Danio rerio: one gene and its partners. The protein of the gene in region 3 interacts with the protein of the main gene of each other region in a biochemical or structural test. Links are inferred from orthologs where the notes say so. Each region holds a gene or a part of one and is shown on either strand. Other genes may lie near its edges.

Region 1 (4,171 bases), on a different chromosome or scaffold from region 3:
TAATATCTTTAAAGAATCTAAAAAAATACATAAATGTCATAAATTGTACAATTTATTTTATTAATGTATTTAAATAACCTAACATAGTTTAATCAATCAATCAATAAATAAACATGTCATCATTACTGTAAAATTTAAAGTTACAAATAAAAGTTCAAAGTCATTTAAAAAGTTAAAAACAAATGCATAAACATATATATAACCCAAACATAAAACAAAATTAAATAGAACAAATATAAAGTAAAACTATATAAAATAAAAATAATTTTAAAAAGTAATTATTGCAGATACTTCTAGACAAAATATATCCGCTATAAAGTTTTAGAGCTTAATCCATGATATGTTAAAATGTTAAAGGAGCATAATCAGTATTAATTGTTTTAATTACTTTTTTATTTTTAGACATCATATATGTATAGATGATATGATAATCACTTTTTAGCATTTATGAATGAAAAATTAACATCATAATAAAATAAAGTTTCTAATAAAACCAGCATTCTATAAAGAGGACATAATAAGCCCAAAATCACATGTTTAGATGATAATGAATGTTTTTAAAATAGGAGCGATAAAACTTCCACAGGCATCACGGTGGCGCAGTGGGTAGCACGATTGCCTCACAGCAAGAAGGTCGCTGGTTCGAGAATCGGCTGGGTCAGTAAGCATTTCTGTGTGGAGTGTGCATGTTTGCCCTGTGAACCCGTGGGTTTCCTCCGGATGCTTCGGTTTCCCCCATAGTCCAAAGACATGCGGTATAGGTAAATTGAGTAAGCTAAATTGTACGTAGTGTATGAGTGTGAATGTGTGAGTGTATGGATGTTTCCCAGTGATGGGTTGCAGCTGGAAGGGTATCCGCTGCGTAATACTGAATAAGTTGGCGGTTCATTCTGCTGTGGCAACCTAATATTAATAGAGGGACTAAGCCGAAAAGCAACTCCCTTTTTTTTCTTCTTCCATTTCAAAAAACTTGCAATTCTAGAAACTTCAACATTGCTCCAAATATATCGAGTATATCAAAAGTACCAAAGTAAATCTTATGTTGAGCATATAAAAAATTGAGTATATCAAAAGTACCATAATAAATGTTAGATTTTTTTTATATAAGTCAATAAAAAATAATTTTAAAAAGTCCGGTAAATGACCAAAAAAAAAAGCTAATAACCTCAAAAACCTGAAAAAAATCGATTCGCTCATCATTCGACTGCTTACCTCATCGTGTGGCAGACCCGACTAATCAATCCGCGTTGTTGACTTGTTCGATCTCGGATTTCCTGGTCAGATGAGAGCACGGGAAACACCTCAGCTAAACATCACTCTGACTCTGTAACACAGCAGAAGTCAATCATTAGCATAAACCAACTGATCTATCCTACTGAAGGACTACATTCGAGTTCTCCGTGAGTTTTCCCCCCTGTCTCAGTCTTGAAGATGTCTGCGTCCGCTGGCGGTGCTGGATCACCGGGATCGGGCCTCTCCGCCGGCCCGGCTGCGGCTACCGGCTCCGGTATGTCCATGTTCCGGTGGCTGGAGGTGTTGGAGAAGGAGTTTGACAAGGCATTTGTGGACGTGGATCTGTTGTTGGGAGAGATCGATCCGGATCAGGCTGATATCACGTATGAGGGCCGCCAGAAGATGACCAGTCTCAGCTCGTGTTTTGCTCAGTTGTGCCATAAAGCACAAACCATCTTCCAGCTCAACCACAAACTGGAGGTAAAGAGAATAGATTAAACTAGATCAATATATTGAGGTATAGTTGGTTTTATGTTAACACATTCGTTCATTTTTGAACACTGACAACTAGTGTCACAGTTCCTATTTTGTGTTCACCATGCTACTTTAAATATTCGGTCTGAAATCGCATGTAAGTATGACTTCAAAACAACATTAGCAGCACCAACCGACTCTGAACAATGTTGTGCTTTAATAGTCATTTATTGGCTGCTAATATGATTTCCCTATTTTGAAACTTCAAAAGATACTTTTCTAAAATTCTATTATTTTACTCATAACAGATTTTTATAAGTACAAAACAGAACAAAACATTTACACAATCATTTTATACAAGTGATAAGAAAAAATACACTGTAAATCTAAAAAGTTAAGGTAACTCAAACTGTTTGAGGAAACTGATTTCAACATACCATTTAAGTTCAGAAACTAATCCTAATGGGTACTGTGATCTTAATCCATTTGTGTAATGAAGCAATTTGAGCACAGTAAAACCCAGTAAAAAAAGAGAACTCAAACCAACTTAGTACTGTAAAAAAACAATAAATTAAAGCGACTCAAACCGTTTTAGGAAACCGATTGCAATAAAGCATTTGAGTTAAAAACTAATCTATGAGTACTGTGAACTTCCTCCATTTAAGATGAAGTAATGAGGTTTAATTAGCTCAATATCTTCAACGCCTAGTTCAAAACTCTTTTCAAATGAACTTGCAGTACATTTTGAGTTAGCTACACTCATTTTGCTTGATAAAGTTGACTGTTTTACAGTGTGCAGACAAACTGACAAAAACCAGTCCATCCAAACATGCTCCATATAGAGTAAATCATATACACTATTAGGTGTTACTTGATCAAACTCAAAACATTAAAAAATGGAGTGGAAAAGAAAGAGCAAAAATGTCCAAGAATCCTACTTACAACTCTTAAAAAAAGAAATGCAAGGAAGAAGCCCCAGATTTTTCAAGCTGTTTAGAAGCATCTGCCCTAGCAAAACAAATTCTTTCAAGCTTAAAGGGCCATGAAACCCCCTCGTTTCAGCAGGGTGTTTTCACACCTCTTCTTTGGAAAAAGTCAGAAAAGTGGGCGTGTCCAGATCTGTTTAGGGGGGAGTGTCGGAGGAACTAAAGTGGGAGGGTGTGGGAGTGTCGATTTGGGCACGCGCGAGTTTCAGAGTCAAAATACACACACACACACACACACACACACATACATACAGGAGAATGTGATGGTGTTTAACCTACATGGACATCTGTAGTCGAATTATTAGCCAAATTATTAAATGGTGGACTTTAACTGCAGTTTGGCTCTTTCATTCAGGGAATTCATTCATGTCCCTCGCGACACACGAGACATTTGATTCGAGGAGCTGCTCTAAGCGTGTATTTTTCATGCAATGTTTTATACCGCACGGCGAATGAGAGAAAAAAACCCTCTGCATTTCCCAGAAACTTAGATGCACACGACAGGTAGTGTCAGAAAGCCGCGCGTGTTATTCCGGTCACTAAATGCGGTAAAAACCCTACACGAGGTTAAAGTTTGGTTGTGGTGCTAACGTGTTTACACTCTGTGCAATAGTTTGTTAGATACGAACAAACTGAATAAACAAAGAGCACTGGTCGCTCACTTACCAAATCTGTAGAGACAGGACAATCACCAGCAACTAGAGCCGCGTCTTTATGAAGAGAATACTACAAACGATTCCAGATCTCAGCGTTTGCAGATGAGAACAGCTCTCAGGTAAACAATAATCCTCCTTAGACACGTAAGTTATTGTTGTCGCGCGTCGCGTACACTGTAATCCACACGTGAGTCTGAGCTCTCACAGAGAGAAAATGAAAACGAAACTTAACTGCAGCAAACTATAAAAGCAACACTTCACGCTTGTTTTGCCAACACAACATGGCGTCTCTGTCCTGAAAACACGGTGATAGTAATGAATATTAATGAAGTTGCACAATAGAGTGCGCTGATTGGTTTGACCCAAGCCTTACTCATGCATTAATGTATCACACTGTAAGACGTAATAAGACTCACTCAGGCACAGACATCCAGTCTGCACGCTGGAATACACGCTATTATGTCATGACCGTGACGCAGCTTCAAAAATTCGTTTCAAACAGGAAGTACGAATTTGCTTAAAATAACGCAAAAACAACCAATTTACACTTTTTAGTGAAATATAGGTGTCCTAATAGTGTTTTTAGCAGTGTGGGACACATATACGACTGTCAACAGCTCAAAAAATGTGTTTTGGTGTTTCGTGACCCTTTAAGAACAATTTTAGTCAGCCATTTCTGAAGTAAGTAGGTGGTAGAGTGGACTTCCAATCCATCAAGATCACCCTTTTAGCCACCACCATACCAAACATAATAGACATTTGCTGATTATTTGACCATGCTAACAGGGTCACAGCATCCAAACAGGGCTAATTCAATATCTG
Region 2 (3,643 bases), on a different chromosome or scaffold from region 3:
ATGTACAAGCAAACTGAGGCCTGTTATCAAAATTACTCAATGCCTGTTTTGTTCTATGAAACAAATTATACATTATACAATTTAGCTATTTTTTTATTAAACTCCTTGTAATATCTATTATTATTTACTGCTATGTACAGAAAACCCCTACAACGGTTGCCAGATGTTAACCTGGAACTTGTGTATTAATCTTTATAGAAGCTTAATGGCAACTTTATGCAAAACCAGTTGAGAAGAAGATCAAGAAATGTCTCAAAAATACATCTGTGTCATTATCCTGGAAAGCCATATTCAGGCTTTAATGATTTGTTAGCGCTTTAAGGAAATTTAAAATGCAGATTCTGCATTCCTTTCTATTATCTGAAGAGAACAAGGAGTTCTTCATATGAAAACTTGCTTACTCTGTCCTGAGATCAGTTGAACTTTTCTGTGTCCACGATTTGACAGTTCTGCATGTCAGATAAACTGATGTCAGTTCAGCAGTGAAGAGGAACTCCTACCCGGTGTTGCCGTGCGTGTGTTGGTTTCGCTTCCTGCATTCCCTGCATGCTTTGCGCCATTGTCCTGCCTGGCCTGTCGCTCAAAAGAACATGACCTCATCACCAGACAACCCAAAACTCTCAGAGGAGAAAAGGAATTGTTTTATTACAGATTGATGTGTGCCGTTCAGGCCCTCAACAGATGCGTCCCAAAAACCCTTCAGGGAAACAATCATTTGATGTAATGAAGAAAAAAGTTGCAATGAACAAAGTGTTTTCAGCTCGAAGTCACGCCAGAAGGGGGAAAAAAATGCACAGACGTGTTTTTGCTGGCGTCAAGTTAATTAGATTTATAATGGCAGCATGTTTTGCGTGCTAAAAGATGGACCTATATTCTGGAAAATATGGCAATAGAGGATGAAAAAATTAAAAGGCCACTTAAAGTTTGTTAGCTTTTGGTTTATATAAACATTAATGACAACGTGTCTTCAAGATTTTACATAGAAATATTAACATTTAGTGCATTTGGCAGAAAATTATATATCATCAATATAAGAATTGTAAAAAATCAGCTTTCATATGTTAAATTATCAGTATATAAAATGTTTGTTTAAATAAAAAAATATTTATTTAAACACATTTTATTTGCTCATTTTAAAATATGAAAACTATTTATTATTATTATTATTATTATTATTATTTTATTTAAATATTGAGTAAATGTATGGAAAATTATTACAATTAATAAAAAATATATATATATTTTAAATATTGAGTAAATAACATGTATGTGTAAATAATCAAATCTATTAAAAATAGTGAGATATGTAATATTAAGTAAATCAAATGTATGTTTAAAATATTTATATATATATATATATGTGTGTGTGTGTGTGTGTGTGTGTGTGTGTGTGTTTTAAATATTGAGTAAATAAAATGTGTGTAAATAAATAAATAAATAAAATGAAATAAAAATAGTTTTGATATTTTAACTATTGAGTAAATAAAATGTGTGTAATAAATAAATTAATTTAATTAAATTAATATTAAAAGGTTTACACGTATGGAATATTTTATATTGACTTAATGTCATTTTCAGTAAATAAATGGTCTAAAATGATAATATTCTTGTCTGAAGTGTTTTAAATATGTATTATTCAGTAGTTATGTAAAACACTTATATTATCAAAGTAAACATAATTTAACATTTTACGACAGACATGTGGCTATAAAAAGCAGATCCAGAGAACTAACAACTTTTTTAGGTTTTATTTTATTTATTTTCCAACCAAACGTGTTCTCAGTTTAACACTTTTCTCTGTGATTTAATTAATTTTTTTATAGGTGACACGATTGCCAGCGTGAACGACACTTCAGTTGACGGATTTCGCCATAAAGAAATCGTCCAGCTCATTAAATCATCAGGAAACAACATTAGGTTTGTAAATATCCAACATTCTTCCATCTCTGATTTTCTAAAGAAGCCAAATACCGTCACACTTTCCCCAATAAAGGAGCTGAAATGAAATCTAAATAGTTCCAGTGTACCAGTGGTTTCTTTTCTGATTAGCTTAAAGAATAAGATCTGCTATTGCTTGATTGGAAGCACACTTTCCTTCCCCCTTTTTATTTCCTGTTCAATAAAAGATAAAAGGCCCGTGAAAATGAACCTCCATTTATAAAGTGTGGAAAGCGAAGATGCGAACCACATGAAGGCCCTCCATGGCTTTTAACCCAATTATTTCCACTTTTAAACAGGGGTCCTGCTGTAAATGAGAATGTTTACAGGAGCCCGTTAAAAAGAGGCTCCCGCTTCATATTCACGTCACCAATGAAATCATATACATTTGGGGGAAGGGGAGTTTTGGGTTACCGCCTAGCTCCGATTCAGATTTGTTGTGGTTTGAAGGGCCTTTAATTGCTGTTTTTAGTAGATTGTAGTGTGAAAATACTTAAAGATAAAGTTTTGTAAAGCCAAAAAAAAAATTCTGAAGGTTTGTGAGCTCTTTTCGTAGCATAATATACAGTATAATGATGAACATAATATATATATGATGCTTTTTTACCTTGATTTACAGAAAACAAAAAGTAAAATGTCATTAATTTAATAAATAATAGCATAATTAGTAACATTAGTGAGAGGCTTATTCAGCACAAAATAAATAATTGGATAAATAATTAACATTATTATTATAGTTGCAGCTGCAAAATACTAATTCATTTATTAATAATTATTTATTAATTTATCAATTAAAGAATAATATTTTTATAGTTAAAAAACCTTCTTTAAAACCAATAGGTTTATTAGTTTATAGGTTTATTTACATTTATACATTTTATTATTATTATTATTATAGTTACATTTTCATTTATTTTTAAAAAGTTTTTCCTTAAAACCAATAGGTTTATTAGTTAATAGGTTTATTTACAAATGTAAATGTATTTAAATGTATAAATAAAACAACAAACATTTTTACATAAATATTTTACTTATATTTTTACCCATATTTATTTTATTTTTTATTTAAAACAGTAAGTAGACACATTTCTTGCATTTAATATACTTTTGGTATATATAAACTCGCTTATTTAACTTTATCTAGATGCAGTCATATCATAATCAGACATCTAATCTTTTACTCTCACAACAAAGTAAATGACTTTTGACATGCATCACTGTGTTGCTTTTGTTCCTGTGTTTAGGCTAGAAACCGTCTACAGCGACTCTATAAGAAAAGCAGAACTGGAAGCTCGTCTGCAGTATCTAAAGGTGAGTCTCTTTAACCATGTGTAAAGCGACATGCACATATCGAGCATTTACAAGTGTTGTAACGTAAGGCGAGCATGTTAACACAGCTGCCCCGCTCTGGCACAGAAACACTAGGGGCGATCACACCTGTTTCCCCTCACGCTACACCTGTCCCCTCTTAATCCTTACATACCACATACAGTACAGCTGACACAAGGAGAAAAACACATTTTTACACTCCTCACCATAATCTGCGAAGTGAACGACGATGCCTGGGCTGTCAAATTAAAATTTTAAATGTATTTTTTATTTTTGAAAGTTAAAAGATCTGGGTAAAAAATTACAAAGTTGTAGACTTTAAAAAGTGATTAGTTATTTTACTGAAAAAATGTGAGTAAATACATTGCTTTAAATG
Region 3 (4,206 bases):
TCCTCCCACTACCATCTCATAAAGGCGGCCATTCATACTCTGTTTTACTCTGGCAACAGATTCACCGGCACGCTGGCAGATGGTCTGTGGTTGCCAGTGGTAACCACTCTCAGCGAGAAGCAACAGTTGCTCTTCTCTGCTCCCTTTGAGAGAATAAAAAGTCAAGAGGTATTGGCATATCACTGCCTCGCCACAAAATGGGCAAGCCTACAAGACAATTACAATTGAGAACATCGAACAGCATTCCTAGCATGATGGAAAAGGAGATAGGCTACTTGTGCCAGTAATGGGGAATACTTTGTTACATCAATCTCTCTTTTGTTGAGAAGTTTTTTTTTTTTTCTGAGAAATGCCCTGGGATGATATGCTTTCATATCAGTCAAATGCAGTTAAAAAGATATTTTATAGGAAATTGGTGGTGGTGTTGTTGTTTAAGTGATAAAAAACATCCAAATGTTATCTTACACCTGAAAAACGTGTAATAATCAAACTGCTAGATTTTTTTATTTCAGAACCCAGTTTATGAATTGATGACTTTTTTGATTAGACTTTAACAAATTGATTAAGTTGGTTGACAAATTTATGAGAGTGTGGACTGAAACACAAAACACAAAGTCTGTAATTCAATCTGAATTTTTGTGACATAGCCAATACTTTAAATTCGCACATAATTCTGACGAATTAATGTCATGTGAACATGATTGATTTATCAGTTCTTGCTGAAACCCCCAAAATTCCATCTAAATGTATCTTTTTCTGTTACTTTTGTCCTTCTAACTTTAAAAAACAAAACAAAATTGTATGAGTTTTGAGGAAGATAATTGTTTTTGTTGTGAGTCTTCTCTGTGAAATGTACTTTCAGACACAAATGGAATTTTTAAAAACAAAAAGTATTGATCTCCAGGAGTTTAAGAAGTGTTTTCATCTGGCCTCTTTAACTTTGACACAAATATATTTAAATTTTAAGCTATGGACAGCAGGACATACTTTTATTTGTGTGAGGTGACGTGACACGCACGTGTGTATGAGGTTTGAACGCAATTTCCCGATAAATCCACGCCGAGACCGCAAAATAATTAAACTACTGTATGTTTGGAAGAGGATTTTTTATTAGTTACATGAGAGTTTGTTTGAATATAACAACCTGTAAATTTGAGCTAGAAGTTTCAGCCCTTGTCAGTGCAGCTTTAGAGTTTGCCTTGCAGTAACAGCACAGGTCCAGAGAGGGGCGTAAGCAGAGTGTTTGGAAAAGGGGCTGGCCGAGAACTGTCTTCAAACCAATGATCGGCTGAAGCTTTTACACTGTGGATTCGGTTCAGAGGAGAACACACTGACAGCATCGGCTCCTCTTTGCAGCGTCTGTGTGCACACCGACAGTCAGTGTCAGAAGACACTTTCCACCGTATTGCATTAACACATCTTATTGGATTTCCTCGGAGGAGACGCGATTGATCGGCGCAGACGCGCAGTGCATGTTCTTCTGAAAGCCGAGTCCACCTGCGCGTGTCTGAGAGATTTGTTCATTTCCAGGAACGGGGCTGTGCAACTCCTCTTCCTAGCCGGACTGAGAGGAGAATCCGTCAACGTCATTTAAACGGGAATAACAGCTTTGATCTTTCTTTTTCTACGAAGTGATTATGCGCGTCCTGCGCGGATTGTAAGCAAGGAAAGTCGCCCGTTTGCTCCTGACCCAAAGGGACATATCAGGTCGTGCCAGCAGGAAATACACGGGTTCGGAAGAAATTCCCATTCAAATTTGAGGACTTGAGACAAACAGAAGGAGCGTGCACAATGCCTCTTGCTCAACTGGCAGAGCCATGGCCCAAAATGGAGCTGGTGCAGTTGGAGACGGAGGTGAGAGGTGGTGAAATCACAGCACTAAAATTAACTGATTTAATGTGCGCCCTTTAGGTTGCTCTATCCGTGCCAGAGGTCCACGTGTTTGACTTTAGGAGTTCATGAGAAATACAGCAGTCGTCTAGAAATGTGATACTTTGTGCAAAATAACTAAAGAGTTGTGCAGGTGTGATGGTCAGGGTCTTTATTCTGTTCTTTTGGAGCGCCAGCAGGACGCGCAGCGCTCAAGTAGTGCAGGTCAGATGTTTCCTAATACTGGAGGGTCGTTTCATAAAAAAGTGCCTAGGTGACCTTCATAATCGATGACTTTAACCAAATAATCTTTTTCTAACTTAAACACACTCACACTCACACTCACACACACACACACACACACACACACACCAGACCCATAAACCTTCTTCATTTGGATGTCAGTCGTAGCCTTGTAATGATAGCAGTGTGAATATCAACCATGTTTTCAAGTTTCTTTTTTGATGAAAACCATAATTTTTTTTAAGAATCATGTTCATGCTATTTCACAGCTGCTTTGGAAAAAAGTCAATTATATCTAGATTTTAAATAATGTGGCATGAAAGTATAATCCAAAAACATGCCACCACTTCAGTGATTCATAACCTTTTTTCTAAATCAGAAAATCACATAAAATCACATTTTCAGCGTGGAAAAATGAACCAATTTTAGGGAATGACTCTGCAGTTGTGTCATCTTTAAACTCCAGCGGAAGAATATTGTTTTCTTGTTGTGCTCAGTGAAGCAGCTGTTTTCCAGTTTTTCACTGTGCAGTTCTCTTCTCTGGGGTACATGTCAAATGTCATAAAATCAAATAAATAATACAGCAGTTTAAGGTCAGAAGAAGCATTGGGAAACAACACTCGAGTTATCGAGCTCTTTTGTATTTCTGAACTTTAGTTGTGGTGCATAAGAAAAACACAATTTTTAGTGTTTTTTTATGTTAAACATGTTATAAAATTATTGGCATATAAATACTTAATATTTACATTGTCAAAATCAAATAGCATCCACTCGTATCTGCAGTATAAATTGTCATGCTTGGTTATAAAAAAATTAGGTGTTTTTTCCTTTAAAAGATTTAAATTGCGATATGTGTTCAAATATGCTAGTTTGATGATTTGTATCTTTTGGTGACAGACCACAGTGCTGACATCTCTGAGAGCTAAACTCCTAGTCAGTTCGAGTTTTGTATCACAGAATACTGTCAAGACGTTTGCATTGTACAGCTCTGGAATTTCCTCTTCCAATTCAGCTGCAGGCCAAGTTTGCAACTACAAGGCAAGCAGAGACAATATGTTCTGTGAGTGATTAATGAGAATGGAAGGAAGAAGATTTAATTTCTTATCTTGCTCTCAGACTAATGTTGATCTCATTTGAGAATCACAATAAGAGGCGTATTTTACTCTTTTGTTCCTGTTCGTGTAATCTGTGCAATTTTGAGATTAAATTAACTTTAATTTTCCCTTGCCTTCTGCTCTCTCACCTGCGCAATGAGTTCACCACCAATCAACTGGCAGCAGGTTTGCTGCAGAAACATTCTCAGTTTTCTCAGTCATTTGAACGAAATTACTTCTGCAGATGAAAACGAGAGGCAGAACTGATCAGAAAAAAATCTAATATAAGTTTAGCAGGAAAGCTCTACTGATTAGAATCTTGCTACAGCATTTCTGCAAGTAGCCTACCACAAGATCTTAAAGTGCTTCTTCCTGATATAGACTCGCTGAACAAAGGACTAAGCACAGGAAGTCACACCACTTAATTTGTCTGAAAAAGACAGGTTTTAGTTTTTTCACATGCTGCTAGTGCTCAAAGGACCCCAGACACACAAAGTGTGTAGTTACTAGATTGAAGAAAAAATGTGTCGTCAAAATGTAAATGTATGTAAAATGCACACCTGCCTATTCTGTCTGATATTATTTTAAAAAGGGCATTTTGCCATTTGCATCAAATTATATTCAACATAAGTGCAATTTTGCAGTCAAAACATGACTCTTTACAAATAAATAGATCTATTGCTAGTTTTGATATGTTTGTTTTGATAATCTGACATTACTTGCAGCATTTTGGTGTATATATTTTCATGCTTACAGAATCATGAAGTATCAGTACACATTAAGTTAGCTTGGTTTAAAGGTCCTGTGAAGTGCTTTGAAATGTGCATTTTTGGTGTGTGACAATTTCAAATGAAACTTGAAAACAGGGCAGGAAAGCTCCTCCCCTTTTAAAAAGCAGCCAATAGCTTTTTATTTTTATTAATACTCTGCCAGTGTGATTGTGTGAGCTCAAGTGCATCAAATTTAACGCAAATCTGAAGCGTCTTGAAGGGGGAAACAT
Region 4 (3,643 bases), on a different chromosome or scaffold from region 3:
GCTCCTTCAGACAAGGCATTCATATTTCCTATTTACAAATGTTGCCGCATTGAACGAGGCAGAATTGTCTACCCCATCGGTAGTGTCCTATATACAGAACATTTCAGAGCCTACACTGTAGTCACAGAGAGTAGGGAATTGTACACTCGTGTCCCATCAGGGGACTTTGTACCATGGGTCAACAGTTCCTGGATAGTCATCCAATTGTCAAAGATTTTCTTATTCCGCTTCTTCATCATTTTTTTGTGACTAAGTTCGATAATGTTGACATCTTTCTTGTCCTCAGTGGTGACCCCCAGCTCTTTCTGACAATCCATACGGCTCTGCTTCATGAACTCCCTACGTTGACGTTGTTCTTTGGCACGGACGGCGTGTTGCTTGCGCTCTTCTTTGCTCCAATACCGACCCATCTTCATCTCGCTTACGGCATCATCATCTGTGGTCATCCCACTGCGCTCCTCTCGGATCCGTAGTGCTCGCTCTTTCAGAAGCTTGTCTCGAACTGGCCGCTTGGTAATGTATCGGGTACCGTCACTGCGGATCTTCACTTTCCATTCCATCTTGGGTCCCAAGTCAGCAGAAGTGACAGGGTCCCGGCACATGCTTACTAAGCTCATCTGGCTTTGGGCATACTCCACTGACTTTTGCTGGATCAGCTGCATGTAGCTCTGGTAGTGCTGGGCATGAGCCGGGATGTGGGCATGTTTGTAGGGTGATTGAGGATGTGCATGACGACCTCCTTTGCGCTCTCTGACTTCAGGTTGGGTACCAACCTCTGACTCTTTTAATAATGTTGGACGGCCCCTAGTGGGGCTGCAAGCCTCTTGGACGGGTGAGAGAAGGGGTTTGAGAATTCTGCTGGGACCCGAGGTACTGCTACTTGCCCCTGCTTCTGCTTGGCTTTCATTTCCACGTCGCAAGGAGTTGTCCGGGGAGAGCTCTAATGTGAGCGGGGTGCTACGGCAACTTTCACCAGTATTGTATGCACTGGAACTGTCCTTGTCAGACTTTTCCGGAAGTTCACTGATGTCTGCTAACTCGTGACGCCTTGCATCTACGCTTGTGTTGTAGTTGCGAAAGCCACTGTTGTGCAGCATCCAGGACTGTTCGCGGCACTGCTCCCGTAACTGCTGCATGCGGTGCGCTCTGACTATGCTCAGGCATTCAAGCTCAATGCTGCGGAGCTCCTCATTCAGAAGTTCCAGTTCTTTGTCGACACCCTCCTCTCCAACACCGCCTTGTCCACCACTGGGCCACAACAAGCTTTGATCTGGGGTACCACTACTGCCTGCACTCTGCATCTGGCACTTCAGCTCCAAAAGTTCCCGAAACCGCTCACATTCATCAGCAGGAAAGTCACCCAAGAATTCTGCGTCTGCATAGTCTGCAGATATGAAGGACTCGCTGCTGAAGGGGAGGTCACCACTGCCAAGGGTGTCCTGACTGTATGCGAGTCTGCGCCGGCTGCCCAGTGTGGTGGAGGCGCTGGTCTGGTCATCTGCGAGATTCTCCTGCTCAGAGCTCTCATCGTTGCGAGTGCTGTCATCAGTGCGGCCCACACCACTGTCTTTCTCATGGTGGTGGGAGAGCAGTGTGGCTGTATCTGTTGTACCTCCATCTTCCTCGTGCTTTTTCTGTAACAAAACAATTCAGGGTATATTGTTAATCTCTTCAGTGAAAACCTTCAATAACACCATACTCTATGTATGAATACATTCAAGCCAGGATAAGGAATCGTTTGGGTTCTTTCATGATACTGATGGCGAATCTACAATGCATCTGCAAAGTATTCATAGTGCTTGACTTTTTCCACAATTTTTATATTACAGCCTTATTCCAAAATGGCTTAAATACATTTATTTCCTCAAAATTCTACACACAATGCCCCAAAAAGACAATGAGAAAAAAAGATTTTTTGAAATTGTTGCAAATTTATATATACATATATATATATATATATATATATATATATATATATATATATATATATATATATATATATATATATATATATATATATATATATATAAACCCTGAAAAATCACATGTACATACTGTAAGTATTCACAGCCTTTGTCGTCAAGCTCTAAATTGAGCTCAGGTACATTCTGTTTCTACTGATCATACATGAGATGTTTCAGCAGCTTAATTGGAGTTCACCTGTCTATATAAGGTCCCAGGGTTGACAGTGCATGTCAAAGCACAAACCAAGCATGAAGACAAAGGAATTGTCTGTAGAATTCAGAGACAGGATTGTCTCGAGGCACAAGGTTCGGGAAGGTTACAGAAAAAATTTTGCTGCTCTGAAAGTTCCAATGAGCACAGTGGCTTTCATCAAGATGTTTGAAATCACCAGGACTCTTCCTAGAGCTGGCCGACCATCTAAGCTGAGTGATCGGGGGAGAAGGGCCTTAGTCAGCGAGGTTATCAATAACCTAATGGTCACTCTGTCTGAGCTCCAGCTTTTTTCTGTGGCGAGAGGAGAACCTTACAGATGGACAACCATATATGTGCAGCAATCCACCAATCAGGCCTGTATGGTAGAGTGGCCAGAGAAAAGCCACTCCCCCCTAAAGTATGTCAAAAGGCATCTTAAGGACTCTCAGACCATAAGAAACTAAATTCTCTGATGACACTAAAATTAAACCCCTTGGAGTGAATGCCAGGCTAATACTATCATGCTGTGAAGATGTTTTTCAGCAGCAGGAACTGAAAAACTAGTCCGGATAGAGGGAAAGATGAATGCAGCAATGTACAGAGACATCCTGAATGAAAACCTGCTTCAGATTGCTCTTGACCTCAGACTGGGGCGACAGTTTTTCTTCCAGCAGGACAATGAACCAAAGCACACCGCCAAGATATAAATGGAGTGGCTTCACAACAACTCGGTGAATGTCCTTGAGTGGCCCAGCCAGAGCCCAGACCTAAATCCTATTGAACATCTCTGGAAAGATCTGAAAATGGCTGTACACCATCGCTTCCCAATCCAATCTGATAGAGCTTGAGAGGTTCTACAAAGAGGAATGGGTAAAAATTCCCAAAGACAGGTGTGCCAAGCTTGTGGCATCATATTCAAAATGACTTAAGGTTGTAATTACTGCCAAAGGTGCATCAACAAAGCATTGAACAAAGGCTGTGAATTTTTAATTAATTTGCAACAATTTCAAAAAAATATTTTGTTCACATTGTCATTATGGGGTATTGTGTGCAAAATTTTAAGGAAATAAATTAATTTAATCCATTTTGGAATAAGGCTGTAACAAAAAATGTGGCAAAAGTGAAGCACTATGAATACTTTCCGGATGCATTGTAAGTATCGATTTGCCACTGGTATAGTAAAAAAAAACCAAGCTATTACATTAACTACAATAATTGCCCTCTTATTAAGTTTCATTACTGATAACAGCAATGTTAGCAATTGTTTATACAGCCATATTTGCCTTTTAACTGTCATGATACATTTTTTAAATGAAGTACACAAATAAGTACAATACTGTATGGCATTTAAACCGAACAGCTATAAGCCTAATTCTGTACCTTTTAAATTAATCATACAATAAAAGTAATTAAACTAAATTAAGAGCCATTTCAAAGTCTTGTTTAAAGTACAGAAGTTGTTACCCCCTTTACACAGGCAATTGTC

What was found.
Region 1: the proteins of rps6ka1 (region 3) and gopc interact in a test that uses a peptide from one of them, tested with the Homo sapiens proteins (2 studies listed by BioGRID and IntAct, with this or other methods). The link is inferred for Danio rerio from reciprocal best matches to the Homo sapiens genes RPS6KA1 and GOPC.
Region 2: the proteins of rps6ka1 (region 3) and tamalin interact in a test that uses a peptide from one of them, tested with the Homo sapiens proteins (2 studies listed by BioGRID and IntAct). The link is inferred for Danio rerio from reciprocal best matches to the Homo sapiens genes RPS6KA1 and TAMALIN.
Region 4: the proteins of rps6ka1 (region 3) and pdzrn3b interact in a test that uses a peptide from one of them, tested with the Homo sapiens proteins (2 studies listed by BioGRID and IntAct, with this or other methods). The link is inferred for Danio rerio from reciprocal best matches to the Homo sapiens genes RPS6KA1 and PDZRN3.

The regions. Positions count from the first base shown.
Region 1 is NC_133195.1:45,541,730-45,545,900, forward strand, and holds the start of gopc (Golgi-associated PDZ and coiled-coil motif-containing protein), read left to right. Parts: upstream 1-1,294; 5' UTR 1,295-1,431; coding exon 1,432-1,713; intron 1,714-4,171.
Region 2 is NC_133198.1:35,148,568-35,152,210, reverse strand, and holds part of tamalin (general receptor for phosphoinositides 1-associated scaffold protein), read left to right. Parts: intron 1-1,823; coding exon 1,824-1,917; intron 1,918-3,182; coding exon 3,183-3,249; intron 3,250-3,643. UniProt on the Homo sapiens protein: Plays a role in intracellular trafficking and contributes to the macromolecular organization of group 1 metabotropic glutamate receptors (mGluRs) at synapses.
Region 3 is NC_133192.1:28,543,852-28,548,057, forward strand, and holds the start of rps6ka1 (ribosomal protein S6 kinase alpha-1), read left to right. Parts: upstream 1-1,301; 5' UTR 1,302-1,791; coding exon 1,792-1,854; intron 1,855-4,206. UniProt on the Homo sapiens protein: Serine/threonine-protein kinase that acts downstream of ERK (MAPK1/ERK2 and MAPK3/ERK1) signaling and mediates mitogenic and stress-induced activation of the transcription factors CREB1, ETV1/ER81 and NR4A1/NUR77, regulates translation through RPS6 and EIF4B phosphorylation, and mediates cellular proliferation, survival, and differentiation by modulating mTOR signaling and repressing pro-apoptotic function of BAD and DAPK1.
Region 4 is NC_133181.1:46,767,981-46,771,623, forward strand, and holds part of pdzrn3b (E3 ubiquitin-protein ligase PDZRN3-B), read right to left. Parts: intron 1,635-3,643; coding exon 111-1,634; 3' UTR 1-110. UniProt on the Homo sapiens protein: E3 ubiquitin-protein ligase. Plays an important role in regulating the surface level of MUSK on myotubes. Mediates the ubiquitination of MUSK, promoting its endocytosis and lysosomal degradation. Might contribute to terminal myogenic differentiation.